Macaca fascicularis: one gene and its partners. The protein of the gene in region 1 interacts with the protein of each later gene in a biochemical or structural test. Links are inferred from orthologs where the notes say so. Each region holds a gene or a part of one and is shown in the gene's direction. Other genes may lie near its edges.

What was found.
Region 2: the proteins of MSN (region 1) and SPN form a complex in vitro, tested with the Homo sapiens proteins (2 studies listed by BioGRID). The link is inferred for Macaca fascicularis from reciprocal best matches to the Homo sapiens genes MSN and SPN.
Region 3: the proteins of MSN (region 1) and ICAM3 form a complex in vitro, tested with the Homo sapiens proteins (2 studies listed by BioGRID). The link is inferred for Macaca fascicularis from reciprocal best matches to the Homo sapiens genes MSN and ICAM3.

The regions. Positions count from the first base shown.
Region 1 is NC_088395.1:72,033,129-72,036,643, forward strand, and holds part of MSN (moesin), read left to right. Parts: intron 1-1,092; coding exon 1,093-1,223; intron 1,224-1,475; coding exon 1,476-1,636; intron 1,637-2,849; coding exon 2,850-2,942; intron 2,943-3,294; coding exon 3,295-3,515. UniProt on the Homo sapiens protein: Ezrin-radixin-moesin (ERM) family protein that connects the actin cytoskeleton to the plasma membrane and thereby regulates the structure and function of specific domains of the cell cortex.
Region 2 is NC_088394.1:28,449,345-28,453,494, reverse strand, and holds SPN (leukosialin), read left to right. Parts: upstream 1-1,341; 5' UTR 1,342-1,459; intron 1,460-1,626; exon of another isoform or gene 1,627-1,696; intron 1,697-2,075; 5' UTR 2,076-2,103; coding exon 2,104-3,429; 3' UTR 3,430-4,025; downstream 4,026-4,150. UniProt on the Homo sapiens protein: Predominant cell surface sialoprotein of leukocytes which regulates multiple T-cell functions, including T-cell activation, proliferation, differentiation, trafficking and migration.
Region 3 is NC_088393.1:10,897,865-10,902,151, reverse strand, and holds the start of ICAM3 (intercellular adhesion molecule 3), read left to right. Parts: upstream 1-1,475; 5' UTR 1,476-1,531; coding exon 1,532-1,607; intron 1,608-2,210; coding exon 2,211-2,477; intron 2,478-4,287. UniProt on the Homo sapiens protein: ICAM proteins are ligands for the leukocyte adhesion protein LFA-1 (integrin alpha-L/beta-2). ICAM3 is also a ligand for integrin alpha-D/beta-2. In association with integrin alpha-L/beta-2, contributes to apoptotic neutrophil phagocytosis by macrophages.

The DNA.
Region 1 (3,515 bases):
AACGCCATGCCATTCATTCACTTAATAAATATTTATTGAGCAATGAATAAGAAAAGACCAAAAATCTCTGCTTTTGTGAAGCTAGCATTCTAGTGGGGAGGAGACAAACATAATAAATAAGCAAATTATGTGGTACATAAGATGGTTAAGAATTGCTATGGAGAAAAAAACATAGAAGAGGGGTGGGGAGAAGGGTAAGCCAAGTATTCTGAGGGCTCAGATGGAGAATACCTAGCCAAGGGAGATAAGAAGGTTCCTGGAAGAGGTGCTAGGGCAAGAAAAAGCAAATACCTATTCCAGATTTGTAACAAACTCTGGGAAAAAGAAGCCTAGAGCTGGGCTTTAGGGCAGACAGATTTGGACCTGAGGACTGATGCACTAGCCATAGAGATTACTGGACTTGAAGCACTTCATCCCAGCAGAGAGCCAAAACTTGTCTCCCTACAAGGTATATAGGGCAGGTCTTATTGGACCATTTTCAAGATAGGGGAACAAGAGCAAAGCAGTGACATAGCTAAGGTCACCCAGTGGGTTGGTGGGAGAGCTAGGATTCCTGACTCAGGGGCACATTGACAGGGCCCCGTGTACACTGGCCTATGTGGGGCTGTGATATGAGGACAAAGGTATAGAGGTAAGGGAGGGTGGCCCAAACTCACAATCCCTGAGTGTGTTGAGAAGGTTGGGTTGAGAGACCCAGAGGCAGCAAGCCTTGCAATTCCCCAGGCTTTTTTTTTTTTTTTTTTTTTTTTTTGAAAATGGAGTCTTGTTCTGTTGTCCACGCCGGAGTGCAGTGGTGCAATCTCAGCTCACTGCAACCTCCGCCTCCCAGGTTCAAGCGATTCTCCTGCCTCAGCCTCCCGAATAGCTAGGGCTACGGGCGCATGCCACTACGCCCAGCTAATTTTTTGTATTTTTAGTAAAGACAGGGTTTCATCGTGTTTGCCAGGATGGTCTCGATTTCCTGACCTCATGATCTGCCCGCCTCGGCCTCCCAAAGTGCTGGGATTATAGGCGTGAGCCACCATGCCTGGCCTCCCCAGGCTTTTATGGAGCTTTACTATCCTGTTCTATCCATTTTATCTCCTTCCCTAGTGCTATGCTGGAAAATGAGAAGAAGAAGCGTGAAATGGCAGAAAAAGAGAAAGAGAAGATTGAACGGGAGAAGGAGGAGCTGATGGAGAGGCTGAAGCAGATTGAGGAACAGACTAAGAAGGCTCAGCAAGGTGAGGCTTGGAGTCACCTTGGAGATTGGGTTTTTCCAGACCTGACTCTGAGCTGGAGAACCTTCTTCCTGAGCTGTACACACAGACAATATAGTTCAGGTGTGGCTACAGACTAGAAAAAGAATGGGCAAGAAGAGAACTCAGAACTTTCTGCCAGCTTTGTCCTGGGGTGGATCATTTCCAGGAAGGAAGCTAGTGTGTCATCTTTATCTCTGTGCTCTTCACTGCCTTCTCCCCTCCTTTTATGCCCAGAACTGGAAGAACAGACCCGTAGGGCTCTGGAACTTGAGCAGGAACGGAAGCGTGCCCAGAGCGAGGCTGAAAAGCTTGCCAAGGAGCGTCAAGAAGCTGAAGAGGCCAAGGAGGCCTTGCTGCAGGCCTCCCGGGACCAGAAAAAGACTCAGGAACAGCTGGTAAAGCTGTAGGATGGACTGGGGTTTTGGGAACTGAGCTTTCTTCCTTGTCTGCCTACTTACTTATAGATACTTTTGCTTACATGCTGGCTCTTTAGAGCAGGCTACCACTCCATGGGCCTCCAGCAAATAACTAGTTCAGAAGCAAGCTGAGAAGTCACTAGTGTGGCCCAGGAATTTTTGCAATCTTCCCTAACCCTTAGTTTCTGTTCATTTTCTTTACCCTTGGGTATCTGAGCTGATTGGCCTGGCAAAGAAAAGGGAAGGAGAAAGGAACAAAAGGAACTCATACTTGAGTTCCTGCTGTATGTTGCTGTGTTGGAAATATTTCCCTTTTCCTTACTTATTTCTTCTTCCCAGTAACCCTATGGGATTAACCTCATATGAGATAATATGCCCAGATAAGGAAATTAGAGCTCAGAGAAGAGATTCACCAAAGGTCACACAGTTGTGGCTAAATAAGGATTAGAACCCATTTCTGCCTCTGTTTGAAAGCTTTGCTCCCTGAAATCACATGCAACTGTGTCTATGCATTTTGGGATCAATACTTTCATCAATACTTTCATCAATACTTTCATCACAGTTTGGCATCAATACTTTCATCACAGTTTCCAAGGGTTCTGTGACACAGAAGTAAAGAACCTGTGGTCCAAACTCCTTGACATATACTCTTCCCCTCTACTGTTGGAGGTGGGAATATAGGGAACCAAGACCTGTCTCTCATGAGGAAGCTGTCATGGGAGATTTACCCAAGGTGTGCATAAGCTTTTTTCCTTGTTCAGATCACCTTGTGACACTTGAGTGTCTTTCCTGTACTTGTCCTGGGAAGAGTCTTAGTGGAATCCTGAGCATTCTAGGATATCAGGAAAGGATCTGCCACTTCAGGAAGTGACCCAGTGATGGCCAAAGCTTTACTGAGGCCCCAGCTGCATACTTGCCAAGAGGGGCATGGGGAGAGATAATGAGGAAGGGACAGAGATGGCATATTGTTTGTCTTCAGGAGGCCTACAGTCTAGGTGGGGGAACTCTGACTTGAAGTGGTGGTCAGGAAAGATGGGACTGGAATGAAGTGGTGTGGTAAAAGAGTCTCTGAGGCAGCAAGCAAGTGGAGCAGTAGGTCCCTTACTAGTCCCCAAGGGGAACTTGGGTTGAAGACACCTGGGTCCTGAGGACCAGAAGGCCCACCTCTCACAGGCTTCCAATTTTTCCGTAGGCCTTGGAAATGGCAGAGCTGACAGCTCGAATCTCCCAGCTGGAGATGGCCCGACAGAAGAAGGAGAGTGAGGCTGTGGAGTGGCAGCAGAAGGTAAGACACAGGGCGTAAAACAAAGCATTGAGGGAATGGGTACCATATGCATAGGTTACAGCTCCTTAGATTCCTTATGTTTTGGCTCCCTCCCTCTTTCATACTTCCTACAGCAGGCATCATGGGAGAAGGTACTCATAGTTTCCTCAAATACTTACTGGAGTTCTTCAATACCTTTAGGAAGTTGGTACAATTGCTCTTGTTTTATGGCTGAAGAAACTAAGGATCAGGCAGATGAAGTGTCTTGTCCTACCTGGTACCTGCCTCTTGCCAGACCATTCTAGGCATATACAGGATGCCACAGTTTAACTGGTCTCACTGAAAGTCTTTCTCTCCTTCTGTCGCTGTACAGGCCCAGATGGTACAGGAAGACTTGGAGAAGACCCGTGCTGAGCTGAAGACTGCCATGAGTACACCTCATGTGGCTGAGCCTGCTGAGAATGAGCAGGATGAGCAGGATGAGAATGGGGCAGAAGCTAGTGCTGACCTACGGGCTGATGCTATGGCCAAGGACCGCAGTGAGGAGGAACGTACCACTGAGGCGGAGAAGAATGAGCGTGTGCAGAAGCACCT
Region 2 (4,150 bases), on another chromosome or scaffold:
TGTGTTTGCAGTGAGCACCCCTGAGGGATGAAGACGTGTCTCCCTGTGGGACACTGGGCTTACCAGGGGCCCTAGAGGAGGGGAATCTCTCAAGCTCAGAGCTCTGTGGCTGCGATATAGGCCCACTATGTGCGCGGTGTCAGTTTGGGTCCTTCCATGTTGCCTCTGTGGGACTTGGGGTAAGGGGAACTGACGCAAACATCAGGCTGCTGTTGCTTGGTGTGAGCAATTAATTCCTGCGGCTCTCACCCTGGAGTCTCATGTCTTTGGGTCAGACAAACTCATCAGCTTGTGGAAAGGGCACAGTCCCAAGGACCTGTTAGAATCTTCTATTGTGCACATGTTGCTCTTAAAATATACAAATCAGTTTTGATTTTAAAAACTTATGCATTTTATTTTTAGTGACAGGGTTTCTGCTGTGGTGCCCAGGCTGGTTTCAAACTCCTGGGCTTAGGGGATCCTTCCGCCTCGGTGGGACTACAGGCATAATGTATCACCACGCCCGGGACTGATTTTCGTTTTTAAAGAACAAAACCAAAGACATACACAAACCAAAAGTCAAAGCTTGCTAATTAGAGGAAAGTCAGGAAATGGGAACCATTCAAAGAAGAAAATGCCTCGGCCTCCTACTCTCACCTATCCAAAGACAATTAGGTGAATCCCTTAGTGGATATCTTTCCAGACACTTTTCCATATAGAGTCCCACATCTGGCCGGGCGCGGTGGCTCACGCCTGTAATCCCAGCGCTTTGGGAGGCTGAGGTGGGTGGATCACCTGAGGTCAGGAGTTCCAGACCAGCCTGACCAACATGGAGAAACCCCGTCTCTACTAAAAATACAAAATTAGCTGGGCACAGTGGCGCATGCCTGTAATCCCAGCTACTTGGGAGGCTGAGGCAGGAGAATTGCTTGAACCTGGGAGGCAGAGGTTGCGGTGAGCCAAGATCATGCCATTGCACTAAACTCCACTTCAAAATAAATAAATAAATAAAATAAAATAAAAAATAAAAAGATTCCCATATCTTTACTAGTTTGCTGAAATAAGATCCGAGCATATGCAGTGTGTAGGAACCACCTTGGTTTAGCCAAGCCTCCCTGACTAGGGGCCACTGGGGTGACCCCCAGCTCCCCGTGAGGGAGTCAAGAGCTCACCAGCTTGCAAAGGTTTTCACGGCCCCCAGCCAGACTCGGGGGCTTCCTCTTGCCCTGCTACTTCCTGGGAGCTCTGAGAGCAGGAAATGGCACCACTCAGCTCCTGGCCTAACAGCTTGGGGACCACAAATGCAAAGGAAACCACCCTCCCCTCCCACCTCCTCCTCTACACCCTTGAGTTCTCAGGCTCATATTCCCACCACCCACCTCTGAGTCCAGCCATCCCTAGCATCACCCCTTCCATCCCATTCCTCAGCCAAGAGCCAGTAATCCAGATTCCAGATCCCGCACTTCCCTGCCTGCCTCAGGTGAGCCCCAGACCCCCAGACACCCCACTGGCCCCTGAAGGAGCAGGTCATGGTGCTGTCTTCGCCCAGCAGCTGTGGGAGCAGGGCGGGTGGGGCAGGATGGAGGGGTGGGTGGGGTGGGTGGAGCCAGGGCCCACTTCCTTTCCCCTTGGGGCCCTGTCCTCCCCAGTCTTGCCCCAGCCTCGGGAGGTGGTGGAGTGACCTGGCCCCAGCGCTGCGTCCTTATCAGCTGAGCCGGTAAGAGGGTTGAGACTTGGTGGGGTAGGGGCCTCAGTGGGCCTGGAAATGTGCCTGTGGCTTGAAAAGACTCTGACAGGTGATGATGGGAAGAGATTTGGAGCCACTGGGCTGCACAGGGTCAGGGAGGGCCAGGAGAGGGTGGCCACTGCTGGAATCTGAGCTGCCGAGGCTGGAGGGAGCCTTGGGATGGGGCTGATGGGGGAGCTGCCAGCATCTGTTCCTCTGTCATTTCTGATAACAGTAAAAGCCAGGATGGAAAAAACCGTTAAACCGCAGGTTGGGCCTGGCCGTTGGTAGGGAAGTGGGCAGAGGGGAGGCCCGGCCAGATCCTCCGGCAACTCCCGCGTGTTCTGCTTCTCCGGCTGCCCACCTGCAGGTCCCAGCTCCTGCCTGTTTGCCTGGAAATGGCCGTGCTTCTCCTCCTCCTTGGGGTGCTTGTGGTAAGTCCAGAGGCTCTGGGGGACACGACAGCTGTGCAGACACCCGTGCCCGGAGAGACTTCTGGTCCTTTGGTCTCTACTAGCAAATACCTGAGCATCGACTCAGAGATGTACACCGCTTCAATAACAAGTGACCCTAAGGCCGACGGCACTGGGGACCAGACCTCAGCCCTACCTCCCTCAACTTCTGTCAATGAGGGATCCCCTCTTGGGACTTCCCTTGGTGCCAGCACTGGTTCCCCCTTACCTGAGCCAACAACCTTACAGAATGTTTCCTTCGAGATGTCATCAATGCCCCAGGAAAACCCTCATGCAACCAGTCATCCTGCTGTTCCCATAACAGCAAACTCTCTAGGATCCCACACCATGACAGGTGGAACCATGACAACGAACTCTCCAGAAACCTCCAGTAGGACCAGTGGAGCCCCTGTTACCGTGGCAGCTAGCTCTCAGGAGACCTCCAAAGGCACCTCTGGACCCCCTCTTACCATGGCAACTATCTCTCTGGAGACCTCCAATGGCACCTCTGGACCCCCTGTTACCATAGCAGCTGGCTCTCTGGAGACCTCCACTGGGACCACTGGACCCCCTGTTACCATAGCAGCTGGCTCTCTGGAGACCTCCACTGGGACCACTGGACCCCCTGTTACCATGACAACTGGCTCTCTGGAGCCCTCCAATGTGAACACTGGACCCTCTGTTACCATGACAACTGGCTCTCTGGAGCCCTCCAGTGGGGCCAGTGGACCCCAGGTCTCTAGTGTAAAACTATCCACGATGATGACTCCAACGACCTCCACCAATGCAAGCACTGTGCCCTTTCGGAACCCAGATGAGAACTCAGGAGGCATGCTGCCAGTGGCCGTGCTTGTGGCCCTGCTGGTGGTCATAGTCCTCGTGGCTCTGCTCCTGCTGTGGCGCCGGCGGCAGAAACGGCGGACAGGGGCCCTGGTGTTGAGCAGAGGCGGCAAGCGTAACGGGGTGGTGGACGCCTGGGCTGGGCCAGCCCAGGTCCCTGAGGAGGGGGCCGTGACAGTGACCGTGGGAGGGTCCGGGGGCGACAAGGGCTCTGGGGTCCCCGACGGGGAGGGGTCTGGCCGGCGGCCCACGCTCACCACTTTCTTTGGCAGACGGAAGTCTCGCCAGGGCTCCCTGGCAATGGAGGAGCTGAAGTCTGGGTCAGGCTCCAACCTCAAAGGGGAGGAGGAGCCGCTGGTGGCCAGCGAGGATGGGGCTCTGGATGCCCCCGCTCCTGATGAGCCTGAAGCGGGAGACAGGGCTGCCCCTTAAGTGCTGGCGAATAGTAAGGCTGGAGGCCGGAATCTCAGCCAGCCTCCAGCACCTTCCCTCTCACCATCACACTGCCCCCTCACTCCCACATTTCCACCTGGCATCCTGATCCTCACCTGAATCTCTCTCTCTCTCTCTTTTTTTTTTTTTTCTGAGGCAGAGTTTCGCTTTGTTGCCCAGGCTGGAGTGCCATGGCATGATCTCAGCTCACTGCAACATCTGCCTCCTAAGTTCAAGAGATTCTCCTGCCTCAGCCTCCCGAGTAACTGAGATTACAGGCGCCCACCACCACGCCCAGCTGCTTTTTTGTATTTTTGGTAGAGACGGGGTTTCACCATGTTGGCCAGGATGGTCTCAAACTCCTGACCTCAGGTGATCCACCTGCCTCGGCCTCCCAAAGTGCTGGGATTACAGACGTGAGCCACCGTGCCTTACCTCCTCACCCGCCTCTTCACTCTGAATCCTCATCAGGCCTCTCAGCCCTGGATTTCCTGCTGGCATCCTCACCCAGCACCTGCAACCAGCACCTGGGCAGGGCAAGGCCGGCACCTCTCAACGTCTGTGGACTGAATTAATAAACCCTCTTCATCCACCCCTATTTATCTCCATCAGGATTTCCCCCTCTTTCTTGTTCTTGGAAACGGCTGCTGAGTCTCCATCAGCCAAATTTATCTGACCTGTGATTTCTTTGAGAATTCTCCTTTTCCCCCACACCCCACCC
Region 3 (4,287 bases), on another chromosome or scaffold:
CTCACTGCAGCTTTGATCTCCCAGGCTCAAGCGATCCTCTCACCTCAGCCTTCCAAGGAGCTGGGACTACAGGCACCAGGTCCATGCTACTGGGCCCTGCTATTTACAAATACACTAGACTTGGGTTTTAGCTGCTCTCTCAACACTAGATGGGAAATGAATTGTTCGGAAGGCAGAGGAATAGAGGAGGGACCTGATTAGGAAGGTGGGGGTGCTCCAGATGAGAGAGGAGGTGCTGTGACCTCAAGGTCTGGGAAAAGTGGGTGAATGCAGGGCTCCATCAAGGCCCTCAACAAGGTCCCTCTCTGGTGCTCAGATGTTAGGCCCAGAAGACAGGTCAGAGGCCTGAGGTCAGCGGCAGGTCAAAGGTGGGAGTCCCCCCTGGTCCCCTTGGTGCCTTCCCTTGGAATGAAGTGACCAGCTGCCTGGAAAGGTGGGCAAGGGGGCAACAGGATGAGGTAAAGGCCAGTTACAAGTAGAATCCTGGAAGGTCGGGTGAGGTGGCTTATGCCTGTAATCCCAGCACTTTGGGAGGCCAAGGCAGGCGACTCACTTGAGGTCAGAAGTTTGAGACCAGCTTGGCCAACATGGTGAAACCCCATCTCTTACCAAAAAGTACAAAAATTAGCCGGGCATGATGGCACATGCCTGTAATCCCAGCTACTCGGGAGGCTGAGGCAGGAGAATTGTTTGAACCAGGGAGGCAGAGGCTGCAGTGAGCCGAGATCCCACTACTGCACTCCAGCCTGGGCAACAGAGTGAGACCCTGTTTCAAAACAAAACAAAAGCCAAATCGAATCCTGGAAAGACAGTGGCTCAGGGACTCAGCTGTCCCCAAATCACCTACCTTAGCTCTTCGTGCATGGGAGGGGGGATCCCCAAAATCTTCAAAGATAGGGAGATGTCCTCAAGATCTTCAAAGGTGGCCAGGCGTTGTGGCTCACGCCTGTAACCGCAACACTTTGGGAGGTCAGGATGGGAGGAGGCCATCTCAAGGCCAGGAGCTCAAGACCAGTCGGGGCAACATAGCAAGACTCTGCTTCTGGTTTTTTTGTTTGTTTGTTTGTTTGTTTTATGTTTCCTTGAAATCCCACCTTAGCATCTAAACAGTGGTGCCTACAGGTTTCCCCCATTAACTTCCTCTCTGGGAACAGAATATTCCCCTCCCCACCTAAGTTCAGCCGGAAGGAGATGCCTCATACCCCCACACCCAGGCTTCCCAGTGCTGAGAACAAAGGAAGCCAGTTCAGTTAGCATTTCCTGGCTAGGAACTGGGGGCCAGCAGTGCAACTGAGACCAGCCCTGTCCCTGGGGGAGACTCAGCAGTGCTGGCCACTTTGCAGAGCCCCATCTGGGTCCCCCATTCTAGCCCCCCAGGGCCATAGCATCCCCTTCTCCCCACAGGCCTGGGTAAGGTGCAATCCCCAGACTTCTGCAATCTTAACCGCTGTGCTTCCGTCTCAGTGGGAGGCCCCGCCTTTCCCCCTGCCTGCCCTTGGGGCACCTCAGGAAGGCCCCTTCTTCTGTCAGAATGGCCACCATAGTACCATCCGTATCGTGGCCCGGGGCCTGCTGGACTCTGCTGGTCTGCTGTCTGCTGACCCCAGGTGAGGCTGGTCAAGCCCAGGAGGGCTGGAGAGGGCTGGGTTTTGGGGCTCAGTAGAAGGTGGAGGAAGAGAATGCAACACTCTTTGCATCCTGCCACACTGCGACCTGGCTGCTGACCCCGTATCCTCGGGAGAAAGTTCTGGTTCCTTAGTTCTGCCTTCAGGTGGTCAGGCCCCAGCATACGGCTTCTACGCCATCCCTCTTCCCCAACACACACACACACACACACACACACACCCCTCACGCTTCCTGCTCCATCTGAACTCCTGAAATTTGCCCTTTGCGTATGTGGTTCCCTCTGCCAGGATCAGCTGTCCCTTTCACTTGCTAACTCTTACTTAGCTTTCAGTTTCAGGCTGGCATGGTCCCCTCCTCCAGGAAGCCTTCCCTGACTCACCTCCTCCTATGCTGGATCAGAGTCTCTTCTGGCCTCCTTCTGAGTTCTCCCTGGTCCCTGATGGATTCTGCCTTTCCCACTGGACCATGAGGGCGGGAACCCTTCTATCTCGGCACAAGGAAAGAGGTGTTAAATGGTGGGGCCTGCTGATACACGGGTTGGGGGGCAACAAAACGAACACCAGGATTTCTTCATGTTCCTGAAGGTGCCCAGGGGCAGGAGTTCCTGCTGCGGGTGGAGCCCCAGAACCCTGTGTTTCCTGCTGGAGGGTCCCTGTTGGTGAACTGCAGTACTGATTGCCCCAGCTCTAAGAAAATCATCTTGGAGACGTCCCTATCAAAGGAGCTGGTGGACAATGGCACGGGCTGGGCAGCCTTCCAGCTCAGCAACGTGACTGGCAACAGTCGGATCCTCTGTTCAGGGTACTGCAATGGCTCCCAGATAACAGCCTTCTCTGACATCACCGTGTACAGTGAGTCGATGTGTCCGGAGGTGGGACTGGTGTTGGGTAGTGGTGTGGGCAGGTGGCCGATGGCTCAGGAGAATGGAGACCCTCAGTTTGCAAAGAATGGACCAGGGTTCTGACCCAGAGCTCAGACCTGGATATTTGTGTGTGTGAGATACAAAGACAAGGCCGGGCGCGGTGGCTCACGCCTGTAATCCCAGCACTTTGGGAGGCCGAGACGGGCGGATCACAAGGTCAGGAGATCGAGACCATCCTGGCTAACACGGTGAAACCCTGTCTCTACTAAAAATACAAAAAACTAGCCGGGCGAGGTGGCGGCGCCTGTAGTCCCAGCTACTCGGGAGGCTGAGGCCGGAGAATGGCGGGAACCCGGGAGGCGGAGCTTGCAGTGAGCTGAGATCCGGCCACTGCACTCCAGCCTGGACGACACAGCGAGACTCCGTCTCAAAAAAAAAAAAAAAACAAAAAAAAAAACAAAAAAAAAAAACAAAAAAAAAAAAAACAAAGACATAGAGACACATCTCAATCTCATGCCAAGGCAGCAGTTGTGAAATCAATTAACTTGGGCCCCAACCAGCATTTTTTTTTTTTTTTTTTTTTTTTTGAGACAGAGTTTCGCTGTTTTTGCCCAGGCTGGAGTGCAGTGGCACAATCTCGGCTCACTGCAACCTTCGCCTCCTGGGTTCAAGTGATTCTCCTGCCTCGGCCTCCCGAGTGGCTGGGATTACACATGCACGCCACCACACCCGGGTAATTTTGTATTTTTAGTAGAGATGGCATTTCTTTTTCTTTTTTTTTTGAGACGGAGTCTGGCTCTGTCCAGCCCAGGCTGGAGTGCAGTGGCCGGATCTCAGCTCACTGCAAGCTCCGCCTCCCGGGCTTACGCCATTCTCCTGCCTCAGCCTCCCGAGTAGCTGGGACTACAGGCGCCCGCCACCTCGCCCGGCTAGTTTTTTGTATTTTTTTTAGTAGAGACGGGGTTTCAACGTGTTAGCCAGGATGGTCTTGATCTCCTGACCTCGTGATCCGCCCATCTTGGCCTCCCAAAGTGCGGGGATTACAGGCTTGAGCCACTGCGCCCGCCTGAGATGGCATTTCATCATGTTGGCCAGTCTGGTCTTGAACTCCTCACCTCAGGTAATCCGCCTGCTTTGGTCTCCCGAAGTGCTGGGATTACAGGCATGAGCCACTGCACCCTGCCCCAACAAGTTTTTTTTTTTTTTTTGAGATGAAGTCTGTTGTTCTGTAGCCCAGACTGGAGTGCAGCGGTGCCATCTTGGCTCACCACGACCTCTGCCTCCCGGGTCCCAGTTCAAGCATTCTCCTGCCTCAGCCTCCCAAGTAGCTGGGATTATAGGCATGCGCCAGCATGCCCAGCTAATTTTTGTATTTTTTGTAGAGATGGGGTTTCACCATGTTAGCCAGGCTGGTCTTTAACTCCTGACCTCGTGATCTGTCCACCTTGGCCTCTCGAAATGCTGGGATTACAGGTGTGAGCCACCTTGCCTGACCCCAACAATAATCTCAACACTTTGGGAGGCCAAGGCAGGAAGATTGCTTGAGCCCAGAAATTTAAGACCAGGCTGAGCAACATAGGGACACCTTGTCTCCACAAAAATAAATAAAAAATATTAGCTGGGGCCGGGCGTGGTGGCTCACACCTGTAATCCCAGCACTTTGGGAGGCCGAGGTGGGCGGACCACGAGGTCAGAAGATCGAGACCATCCTGGCAAATGCCGTGAAACCCCATCTCTACTGAAAATACAAAAAAATTAGCCGGGTGTGGTGGTGGGCACCTGTAGTCCCAGCTTCTAGG